Linked DNA regions of Canis lupus familiaris. The protein of the gene in region 3 interacts with the protein of the main gene of each other region in a pairwise test. Links are inferred from orthologs where the notes say so. Each region holds a gene or a part of one and is shown on either strand. Other genes may lie near its edges. The genes, in order: LYAR, MFAP1 and BEND7.

What was found.
Region 1: the proteins of BEND7 (region 3) and LYAR interact in binary tests that used the Homo sapiens proteins (3 or more experiments, as listed by UniProt). The two-hybrid records come from large-scale screens. The link is inferred for Canis lupus familiaris from reciprocal best matches to the Homo sapiens genes BEND7 and LYAR.
Region 2: the proteins of BEND7 (region 3) and MFAP1 interact in binary tests that used the Homo sapiens proteins (3 or more experiments, as listed by UniProt). The two-hybrid records come from large-scale screens. The link is inferred for Canis lupus familiaris from reciprocal best matches to the Homo sapiens genes BEND7 and MFAP1.

What each region holds. Positions count from the first base shown.
Region 1 is NC_049224.1:70,304,479-70,308,554, reverse strand, and holds the start of LYAR (cell growth-regulating nucleolar protein), read left to right. Parts: upstream 1-1,276; 5' UTR 1,277-1,407; intron 1,408-4,076. Other genes in the region: ZBTB49 (zinc finger and BTB domain-containing protein 49), read right to left, coding at 13-158. UniProt on the Homo sapiens protein: Plays a role in the maintenance of the appropriate processing of 47S/45S pre-rRNA to 32S/30S pre-rRNAs and their subsequent processing to produce 18S and 28S rRNAs. Also acts at the level of transcription regulation.
Region 2 is NC_049251.1:10,840,215-10,843,858, forward strand, and holds part of MFAP1 (microfibrillar-associated protein 1), read right to left. Parts: intron 1,610-3,644; coding exon 1,390-1,609; intron 32-1,389; coding exon 1-31. UniProt on the Homo sapiens protein: Involved in pre-mRNA splicing as a component of the spliceosome.
Region 3 is NC_049223.1:21,943,755-21,947,915, forward strand, and holds the start of BEND7 (BEN domain-containing protein 7), read left to right. Parts: upstream 1-1,351; 5' UTR 1,352-1,383; coding exon 1,384-1,444; intron 1,445-1,979; exon of another isoform or gene 1,980-2,004; intron 2,005-3,868; coding exon 3,869-3,952; intron 3,953-4,161.

The DNA.
Region 1 (4,076 bases), on a different chromosome or scaffold from region 3:
TTCACCGCCCACCTGCATGTATCCGCCAACCTCTGTCCCATCTTTTCCTGAATATAAACCTGGAAGCACTTCCTTGGCTCTGGAGACGGCGTTTGGGACGCCAATCCTCTGTCTTTCCCGCGTTGGCCTCCCCGAGATGAGTCCCTTTCTTGCTTCATCACCACCCGTCTCTCGGCCTTTGAGTTTTGTCAGCCTCTGTCTCGGGCCCCAGGGCCACGTGCTCTGGCACCCTCGTGCCCCGGACTCCGGGGAGACGAGAACGCCGCTGTCCTGGAGATACCAAGTGAGGGAAATCCAAATTAACTTGGAGGAGGAAGGTCAGGGAAGACTTCTTGAGGAAGAGACATGTGAGCCGAGTGAAGGCTGAAAGCTTGAGCTACAGAGACAGGCTCGAGAGAGGCCCCCTCCTGGGGATTTCCTGGGGGAGCACATGGAAACAGACGCGCAGGGCCCAAGCGCCTCAAGCATCCTGCTCTTGAAACCTCCAGGCCACGCTGTCAGTCACTTCTGTTGGAACAACGTTTTCTTCCCGGCCCGTTCCGGTGAATCCCTTCTGTGATGGCCTGAATCCTGCCCCCCGCCTCCCCCCCCCAGGGCCCTGCGGACGTCCCGGCGAGAAGGGCGGGTGCGGGCCCGGCGCGGCGCGGGGGATGCCCCAGTGCAAACCCCGCCGGAGGCCGCCGCCGGGCCCCCGCCTCCGCAGCCGCCGGAAAACCGCCGTCGGCGGGCCGGGCAGACCCACGCAGGGCCCTTCAGGCGCAGCCCCCCCCCCCCACCCCCGCCGCCGCCCCCGCCCCGGGATCACCCTCCTCCCGGCGCCGACCCCGACCCCGACCGCGCGGCGTCCCTGCGGCCGCGGCACGCGCGCTCGGCTCCACGGGACCTGGGCCGCCGCGGGCCCGGGCGCTGCCCCCGACCGAGGCCGCCGCCCCCGGAGGCCGAGGGCCCGCCCGGGGCGGGGCGGGGCGGGGGGAGCCCGGGACCGCAGCCGGCCGCCGCGCGACCCTCAGGCTGCCCGGGGCGGGAGTGGCGGCGGCGGCGGCCCCGGCCTAGGCCGGCTCCCTGCGCCGCGCCCTCGCGAGGCCGGCCTTCCCGCCAGACGGCACCTACCGGAGAGGCCGCTCCCCGCCCCGCCGCCGCCGCCGCCGCCGCCTCTCCGCCAGCCGCCGCCTCTCCGCCAGCCGCCCTCAGCGCCGCTCGCCGGGCGCCGCCGGCCGCGGAACCATCCCGACAACGCCCCCTCGGCCGGCCGGATCCGCCTCCGGCTTCCGGGGACGTCACTTCCGCCGGGACGGCGCAGGCGCGGGGGGGCGCCCGGAGGGAGGCGGCTGCGGCGCGGGACGGGCGGCTGCGTCTCCACGTGCTCCTCGCGGCGGGTTGAAACCGTTGGCGGGCGCCGGCGGAGAGGTGAGGGGCGGCGCCGCGGGAGGCTGGGGCTGGGCGGGCGGTGGGCTGGCGCCGGCGTTTCCACCGCTGGACCCCTCCTGGGGCTTTCCCCGCGGAAGGACGAGGCGGGCCGTCCCGTGGCCTTCGTCCCGCGGGCGGCGAAGAGCCTGGTCGGAGGCGGGACGGTCCTCGCGCAGGGTCCCCGCGGGGCTGGGCTGCGGCCGGCTGCGAGGCGGGCCAGCTCGCGCTCCCCGAGGCCTGGGGGGCTGCGTCCCTCCGGGGCGGCCTGGACCGACGGAGGGCGCCCCGGCCGCCGCCCGCGACTCAGGTCTGCCCCTAGCTCCGCGGGTGACCTGCGAGTTACTCCTCCTGTGCCGCCGTTTGTCGGTCTACGAAGGGGCGAACACAGAACCCGAGATCTGCTGCGAGGATTGCACGCGCGCAGACCTGTTGGCCACCCAGGACGGGGCTGCCTGCAGCACCTGCTTCCGGGGAGACTGGGGAACGGCGTGGGGGGTACTTGCACGGCTGACCTCCCTGCGGAGGGCTCCTTGGGACTCACCCAGCACCCCCAGGCCCAGAGCCTAGCACAGCGCGTCTGACCCGCGCTAGACTTGCACGGATACCGATACACCCAAGGGATGCTGGTGATGTAGTTCTGGGGAGGCGGGGGGACATGGCTCCACTGGCCCCGCCTCGGTGCGCCCATCTGTTGGGTGGACATAGATGTACCTGCCTCACAGGGTGAGTGCACATGGGGAGCCTCGTCACCCCGCAGGCTGAGGCCACATGGGAGGCAGTGTGTACTCCTCTGTCCTTCCCTTGCGCCATACCCTTCGTGTCTTGGAATTCCACCCCTGGAAGGGGCTCCTGGCACCTCGCTTCACAGATGGGAGGACCCGAAGCTAAGAGGGGACAGTGACTTGTTGGAGGTCGTGGGGCTCACTGGGAATTGCGCTGTGGTTGCCAGCCTGCCCCCCCCCCCCCCCCCCCACCTCACAGGTGGGCTGTTTGAGGTTTAGGTCTGCGCCTACATGCCTGTGCGAGAATGTTTAAAGAATAGGGAGTGTAGTGTTTGCAGAAATAAACAATATAAAAATGTAAAGGCAGGAAGGTTTAAAAAGAACTCTAGAACCCAATTCTAGAACTAAATATGAGGCCCTTGTATCAGGTAACAGGGTGGTGGAGTGGGCAAATTAATAGGTCATAGGAAATACTTTCTACTGTTGGGTAAGGATGAATCTTTCCTATTTCTTATCTTCCACACAAAGCTCTTAAGATAGATTTTGGACCCATTTTATAGATGAACAGAATCTGGGAAGTTAGGATAGCTTGAGGTCATTTTTCATTGGTAGATGCTGGCTCCAGCTCAGATCTCTGGCCCTGAGTCAACAACATTCAACCAAACAGGGCCACCATCCTGGTAAGAGGACCCCTGAGGTGTCCCAAGTCCCTCATAAGTTCCCAGCCCCTTGTTATTGCTGCCTGCTCCCCTCAACTCAGACTCATTTTCTGACACCTGACCTCAGTTGTGACAAGGATGGTATCTCTGCTCGGTGTAAAATGGAAGGTCACTGTAGAGCCTTTGCTGTTTTTGCTCTTTTTTTTTTTTTTTAGTTTTTCTTTTGGGATGAGGGCCTCCGGCTTCTGCTCACTGAGTAGTGGCCAAGCAAACGGCGAAAAACATGACAAGTCAAGAGAGAGGAGCAGGGCAGGAGCTTGTCTCAGGCTACCTCTGCCACTCCCTATGTCTCCAGCCTAATCACTTAACCTCTCTGAGCCTCCACTATTTCTTACAGATGCTGGGGTGGTAATGTGATCATACCTGTTGTAGAGGTGTTGGGTGCAATTCTGACTATTAGTATGAAGTGGCTTTATGGAGAGCTAGCGATCGTGTTCTGTAACTCATCATCTTTTTCTTGGCTTGTAGCATGTGCTGAGAAGATCATAAGGTGAACGGACAGTCAGAAGCTCACACAGGGACTGGCCTCCTTTGGGGAAGGCACCCGGGTGCATGTGGATCCCAGTGCACACTCGGCATTGACCAGAGGTCTGCCGAAATGAATCACAGTGACTTAACTGGAGTGAAAACTTGAGTATGCTTTTGACTAGTCCACGAACACTGCTTTCTCTTTTCATGGGTCCCCATCTCTAGATGGAAGAGCACACAGAATCTCTGTGGCTGGGCAACCCCCGTGGCTCAGCGGTTTAGCGCCACCTTCAGCCCAGGGTGTGATCCTGGAGTTCTGGGATGAGTCCCGTGTCGGGCTCCCTGCATGGGAGCCTGCTTCTCCCTCAGCCTGTGTCTCTGCCTCTCTCTCTCTCTCTCTCTCCATCTCTCATGAATAAATAAAATCTTTAAAAAAATCTCTGTGGCTATCCTGAGCCAGGAAAGGAAAAGGGGATCTTTATTTAGCCCAATGAAGCATGCCATCATGTCTTTACACGGTGGGCTAAAAGTTGAAATATGTAATATCTGAGCCCTGTGGATAGGGTATCATAACGTCTTAATGCAACTGGCTTTCAGCTTTCCAAATTGCCAAAAGTATAAATGTTACACATTTACCAAAAACATCCATTTGAAAGTTTAAGGTTCTTTCACATTTACTTAGTTTTGTGAGATTTGTGGAAGTTTAAATTTTTAAGGCAGTGCTTGCCCTCTTCCCTTAGAGGGACTGAATTTTCAGAAG
Region 2 (3,644 bases), on a different chromosome or scaffold from region 3:
AGGTTCTACTATTTTCCGATGTCGAGCCAATCTGAAAAACAGCATCTTCAAGTATAACACCAATGTCACAAAAGTGAAAGAGCATTACCCACATTTCCTTAGTCTTAGAGCACCTGGAGGTTGTTTGCCTTTATTAATAGTGAAGTCTTGAGAGAGGGAAACTGAGGGACAGAAAAACGAAAATAATTCATGGGGCACTTGGGTGGCTCAGTGGTTGATTGTCTGCTTTTGATTCAGCTTATGATCTCAGGGTCCTGGGATCGAGTCCTGCAACAGGCTCCCCACAGAGCCTGCTTCTCCCTCTGCCTATGTCTCTGCCTCTCTCCGTGTCTCTCAGGAATAAATAAAATCTTAAAAAAAAATCAAAGCATGAGAGCAAATAGTTAGGTTGGACCTAAAATGTTCAATGTAAGCTGAAACACCATGAGGCACTGCAACAAACATATGGGTGCAACGGGATTGTTTTATAGCTCCAGGTAGTTCACAGTTTCAACATTAGATCATACTAGGTTTCTTTTCAGTGATATTGTATCTTTGTGAAACTGGATTTTTGGTACCTGCTATATAAAAAGCAAGTACATGCAGATCAACATGGGACAGGATATGTGTGCCAGTGTCAATCTGATTTCAAGGTCTGAGAAACAGTGTCCAAGAGGCACACAAACCCCCACTAATAATTATAGTTATATAAGAATGAAATAAAAATGTTTTTTCTTTTATGCATATTAGATTTTTCAAATGGCTTCAAATGTTAAGACATTAATATTTATTCAATTATTTGGATCTACTTAATAAAATAAAGTAGACCTAGGGACTCCTTGAGAAAATTCCTGAGACTGAATGAACTGTGAAAGTTTGGGATCTCTGGTCTGCACTCTAAGGTAATGTCTCAACATACAACATGAAATCCTTCATTGGGAAGCTCCCTTTCCTACGTGAATCCATTCACTCATCATCAGGCCTTTTATCCTACTTCTTCAGTGTAATTTCCCCTCATTAGCCTTTAGGATAAATGAGTGGATTAAATCAATTTCTCTAATTTTAAGACCTCCTCCTCCCAACAAACCAACCAATGGTCTGTGTTTTCTATTCCTTTAGTTAACTAGGGCCTTTGGACCAGAGGTCCTGCTGTTTACTGGTTGCCACTTGCTGGCTGTATACCTTTGGTCATCTTATTCTCCTGACCCTTTGTGCCTTAGTTTCCTCATTTGTAAACTGGGATAATAATACATACCTCATAAGGTTATTGGCTGGATTACAAGAATTACTAAAGGTAGTTAGAATAGTGACTGGCATATAATGAGTACTGTTCAAGTATTAGCTATTATTGTTGTTGTTATTAACTAACCTGTAGGGGTATAGGTGTAAGGAAACAACCCTAGTCATTACCTCTCTTCCACATCTTCACTAATACGGTTCTGCAAACGCCGCAGTCGAGGGTCGCTGGATGAATCCTCCTCTTGTTCCTCAGGCTCTGCTTCTTGTTCTTTGGCTTTCTTAATGAACTGAAATTCTTCATCCTCCTCATCTGAGGACTCCATAGGGGCATAATCTGGCCTCTTTCCCGACACATAACGTTTTACCTTCACTTTCTCCATCGAAATCTCACCTGGGTGATAAACATAACTTATGTTTCAGTAGCCTCTTTCCCAATGTCCTTTGCAGGTAGAGCCCTATATTCCTGGTAAACAAGAGTTCAAGCAGAAGGAGATTGCCACTATCCAGCCCTCTACTTATCTAATGGTGTTTTCCTGTCAAGGCCAAGTCATGGGAAAACATTCTTGCGAATACCAACACTAATGATAAAGAGGGCTAACTTGAGTATACTGAAATGGAGGAAGACAGGCTGACTACATCCGTCACAAATTCATGCTATTCCACCTCACCTATACCCTTAAGAGTATAAATAAATAAGGGTATGAATAAATAAAGATCTTAAAAAAAAGATATAACAATCATTATGCTTAATGACAAATTGGAAGCATTCCTTTAAAAACCAGTGGGCATCTTTATGTTGTCCCTATCATACCTTCTAGTCAACATTTTATTATGATTCTAATTAGGGCAATAAGAAAAAGAGATAGGAGTGCCTAGGTAGCTCAGTCAGTTAAGTGCCTTCGGCTGAGGTCATGATCTCAGGGTCCTGGGATCAAGCCCTGCATTGGGCTCCCTGCTCTAGGGAGTCTGCTGCTCCCTCTCCATCTCGCTCATTCTCTCTCTCAAAATAAATAAAATCCTTTTTTTTCTTTTAAGATTTTATTTATTTATTCATGAGAGACACACAGAGAGAAAGGCTGAGACACAGGAAGACGGAGAAACAGGCTCCATGCAGGGAGCCGATGTGGGATTGGATACCGGGTCTCTGGGATCACGCCCTGAGCTAAAGGCAGACGTGTAACCGCTGAGCCACCAAATAAATAAAATCCCAAATAAATAAAATCTTAAAAAAAAGAGATAAAAGGTAATGATTGAAAAGGAAGAAACTGTCATAATTTGCAGACTATGATTATATGCAGAAAATACAAGAGAACAAACAGGCAAACTAAAAAAAAGAATTCAGGGAGAATGCCAAATAAATGCTGGATAAAAATAAGTGTACCTGTACATTATCTACATAAATTAGAAAATAAAGTTTAAAAATACTATTTACAATAGTAACTAAACTACAAGATACCAAGGAATAAATTTAACAAATGACGTACAAGGCTTTTCAGATGAAAAATATATAATTATATTGGAAGATACAAAAGTTCTAAATAAAGAGAGAAATATGTCATATTTAAGAAAGAGAAGATGGCAACCGTGCCCAAGTTAATCAATAAATTCATGACCTATAATTTTAAGGCAATTCCATTAATAGTTGTTCCCAGGCTGATTCTAAAAATCACATGGAAGAATAGGACAAAAGAACCAAGACAATTCTGAAGAATAAGGTGAGGCTGAGGACTTAACACACCTCACCAAAGAAGATACACAGATGGCAAATAAACATATTCGTTTCAAGTCATATGTTGTCAAGGAAATGCAAAATAAAATGAGATACTACTGCATATGCATTAGAATAACCGAACTACGGAGCTCTGACAACACTAAATGCTGGAGAGAATGTGGAATAACAAGATCTCATTTGTTACTGGTGGGAATGCAAAATGGCACAGCCACTTTGGAGGACAGTTTGGTGGTCTCTTATAAAAGTAAGCATACTCATACTATATGATCCAGTAACTGCACTCCTTGGTGTTTACCTAACGGTGTTGAAAACTAAAGTCCACACAAAAACTTGCACACTGATTATTTATTTTAGCTTTAGCTTCATAACTGCCAAAACTTGGAAGGAACCAAGATGTTCCTTGCTAGATGACTGAATAAACTATGGTATATTTAGATGATGGAATATTATTCAGTGCTAAACAGAAATGAGCTATCAAGCCATAATAAAACATAGATGAAATCTACAGACATATTACTAAGTGAAAGAAGCCAATCTGAAAAAGTTATATACCGTATGATTCCAAATACATGACATTCTGGAAAAGGCAAAACTATGAAGACAGTAAAAAGATCAGTGGTTGCCAAGGGTTGGGTTGGGGTAGGGATGAATAGGCAGGGCACAGGGGATTCTCAGGGCAGTAAAAATACTGTGA
Region 3 (4,161 bases):
GTCGCTGTCCATTATTTTGGCTCTCGCACACCAGTGGCGGAGTCCCCCCGTGCACCTGCCTGGGCCATTTCTTCCCCAAGAGTCAGCAGCAGAGCCCCCGAGCACCCACTGACTGACGTCGCGGCCCTCACTCCTTCCACCCTCTCCACGCCCCCCGCCCCCCCGCCCCGCGTTCCAAGTTGTCTCCTTGAAGAGAACTCCAGATCTTTCGACAACCCCTTTTGTATTGAGGTAAAGAAGCCTCGAAGCTCACTCTCCTCACCAGTAAATTCTCCAATCTCTCCGTTTCCTGGCAGAGCGCGGAGAGGGGTAAGTTGTGTGCGTGTGTGCGCGTGTGTGCCTGTGTGTGTTTCCTAAAAACTTGCGTAAAGCCCGCTGAGCGCGGCCCCTCCGACATCCCGGATCTCCAGGCAAGGAGTGGGCTGGCCTGGGTCCCCCGACACCCGGCACGACGCCTCCCTGAGCCCGGCCCCGGGGAGCGGCGGCGAGAGGCAGGCGAGCTCGGGGTCGGGAGCCGCCCCCCCCCCTCCCCGGCGGCAGCAGCGGCGGCGGAGGCGCCCGGGTCACCCCCACCGCCCGCGGCCCCCGGCCCGACCCCCGCAGTCCCCGCCGGGAGGCCGGCCCGGCCGAGGGCGCTGCGCCGCGGCCTCCGGCTCCTCCGCGGGGCGCCGCGCGGCCAGGCCGGTGGGTGGCGGCGGCCCGGGCCCCCGGGGATGGCGGCGGCCGCGCTCCGCCAGCAGGTGGCCCCGGGGTCCCGGCGGCGCCGCCTCCTCCCCGGCGCCCCTCCTCCCGCGGGGGCGGTCAGCGCCCCGACCCGGCTCGCACCCCGCCGCCGCCGCCCTCGGCCCGCCCGCCGCGTCCCCGGGGCCGCGCTCGCCGCCGCCGCCGCCGCCGCCCGCCGCCGCCGCCGCGTCCGGAGCAGCGCCCAGGCCGGCCCGCCCGCCCGCAGCACCCGGCCCGCCGCGCCGCGCCCTCCCCGCCCCCAACTCGCTCCCCCGCGGAAAGTTCGGCTCGGGCGGCGGCGGCCCGGGGACCCGGCAAGCGAAGGGGCCGGGGGCCGTGCTGACGGGACCGGGCGGCGGCGGCGGCGGCGGCGGCGGCGGCGCGGCGGGGGCAACTTCTGCCGCCGGCCCCGCGAGCCGCAGCCCCCGGGCGCGCTCGAGGTGGTTCTGCCCTCGCCCTCGCCTCCCCCTGCGGATCCAGGGCACGGACCTTGGTCCTGGCGCTCCCGCTGCCGGGTGACAAGAGCCGCCGCCGCCGCCTCAGCCGCCTCAGCCGCCGCCGCCGCCTCAGCCGCCTCAGCCGCCTCACCGCCCCCCGGCCGCAGCCCCTGCCTCCCGCCTCCCGCCTCCCGCCTCCCGCCTCCCGCCTCCCGCCAGCACCATGGAGTTCTCCGAGAGGAAGAGGAGCAGGAAATCGCAGAGCTTCAAACTGGTGAGCCGAGGTAAGCGGCGGGCCGCCGGGCCGGGCGGGGGGCGTGCGGGCGGCGCGCGGGGAGGACTCGGCGCCGCGGAAACACCCCCGCGGCCCGCGCCCCGCGCCCCGCGGGGGGGCCGCGGTGTGGGGGCGACGGGGGCGCTTCCGGGACCCCCGGGTCCCCTCCCGCGGGGGCGGCGCGGGGGCGGCGCGGGGGGGCGCACACGCCGCGCGGCGGGGAAAGTTGTGCAGGGGGCGGGGGGAGGCAGGATGTTATTCAGCGTAAACAAGTCGGAGGGCACCTCAGGAAATTAGCGAACAATGACACTTGGGGAGCCGAGAGCCTTCTGTGGTATTGCACTCCGCGGCCGGGGGTGGGGGTGCGGTGGGGGCGGGGGGCGCGCGCTGCCTCTCCCCCGCAGGCCGTGCACGCTCGGATCCCGACCCCGGCTTGGGGGCTGGCCTCCCCCCCGCCCTCCTCACACATGCACACACCCCCCTCACGAAAACAGAAGCAAAAGCAAAAAAAAAAAAAAAGAAAAAGAAAAAGGTGGTGGTTCTTTCAAGCACCAGAAAGCAGCTCATTAGGTGAAGGTGTAGGAGCCCAGACGAGAGCGGTTGACCTCTGGCATCTTCGCTATAGATACGTTCCGGGGGTTGGGGGGGGAGGGGCGGTGGGAAGGTGTATCGGAAGGGATCGCTTGTCGGTCACAAAAGTATCCCGATTAAAAAAAAAAAAAAAAAAAAAAAAAGATTCCAGCCGGTTCCTGACGATTTAACAGGTGTATGCCGCTCGCCGTCTTCGGGCTTGGGTCTCTCACAGGGAGGGCCGGGGAAAGTTGAATCTCGCCCTGTCCTGTGTTCAGTTACTTGTCAGGTCTCTCTTTTCCTGATTGGACTTTGTCAAAGATGATGAGAACTTGACATAAGAGCAGACATTAAAATAGGGCTATTAAAATGGCTTTGTGTTACCTTAAATTACAGGCAGGTGACTTTCTACCCCCCCCCCCCCCCATCCTCATGTCACAAGTCCTGATACCGAGTTTTGGAACCGCCTCGTTTAAATATCTTCTTTGAATCAACTTGAGGTCAGAACCAAACCCCAGAATTTGTCCCCTTTCCCTCTGTGCTTCTATCTAGCACTGGCCTCAGAGTAGAGGGAGAGCAGGAACCTGGAGAAGCCCCGTGCGAGCTGATGAAAATTAGAGGGTGATTTCCAAGTAATAGGGCTTTTCAAGCTAAGCTGAGCTAACTGTGATGTAGATTCAGTAAAGTCTGCTCTCCGCTGGTCTGAAGGTGGTTGTATAGACATTTATTTCCAAGATCGGCTCAGATCTGTTTCCCCTGTTTTAGTTTGGATACTGTTTAATGAAAGAGGCCTGAAATAGTCTCTACAAATTCAAAATATTTGGCTCTTCCTTCTCTCTGTGTGTGGATTGCTCAGTCATTTGTACTTTTAAAAATCTCTCCGTATGTGACTGGCCGGTGGGTCTATTGATTCATTCAGGAATGTAGGCTGCTTTCTTATTTATGACCTCTCAGACAACTTACTACTTTATCTGAAAAGTGAGAAGTTTTGTAGACCTTGACCTGTTAGGTCTCAAGCCACAAAAAGGGGAATAGCTGTTAAGAAGGAACCTCTATTTTCTTCCTAGACGATCCTACCTTTTAGAAATAGATCATTGGCAAGCCCAGTAGCCTCCGTAGAGAAGAAAAACGCTTGTAAAGTACTGCATTTTAAAGTTTGACTGACATAGCAAGTTTTTCATTTTCCTCTTTTTTTTTTTTCTTTGAATTATGGGTCTGATTCTTCTCTCTGCTCTGCAGGTGCATTTTTAGCAAATAAACTATTGCATATTAAAGTGCAGTAGCTGAATGCAAAAAGACTGTGTGAATGACGAGAATCTTGCTTTCTTATCTAGACTATACTATATTTGAAATAACAAATCAGTAATTTTCATGTGTGCTTTCCTGTAAGCTGCTTAAAGGCTGGAATTTTTCTGGATAAACTGAGAAAACTGAGCATCAGGTTACCCGAAAGCATGCTATTGATAGACTGTACTCATGGAAGTGGGTTGTGGAGATAATTTTGGAATCGTCCCCTGGCCTATGATTGGGCAAGGTTTTTCTTTCCCTTATAAACATACTTGTCATTTGAAAGCAAAGAGGCCTAGTAATTGGCATCTCTGGGCCAAATTTACTGTGAAAACCCATGTGATCAGCAAGGCTGTTTTCTAAAGTCAAAGTAATATTTCAAGTTTGTATACTTCCTCAGAGTAAGCAAAGTTTTAGAGATTATTAGTGACTACAAATTCAGTGATTAACCGAGTTCTTGGAAATTTATAGTTTAAAGTATAGATTATACATCTTATATGTAATGAGAGTCTAGTCTTGTTTTTTCGTATCTTGCAGCTCATTAGAATTTTAATTTTTGGTTGTTTTCTCATCCCAGATTATCACCATGAGGTATATAAGATCTCAGAATTCAGCAACAATGTTAATGGGGAGGCCGAAGAGACACAACCTATTTACTTAGGTAGGTTCCTATGTCAATTAATTTCTTAGCAAAACAGCGTGGCCGTTTGCAATTAGGGGGAAGGGAAAGAGAAAAAAAAAAAAAAAAGATTGTGCCAGAACGGGAAATGTCTGCCATTGCTTAATATATGACATTCTTTTCAAGACCTTTTATTTTACAGATTGCCAATATATCCCTTATTAACATTGCTAAAAGTTGTAATTTCAGAC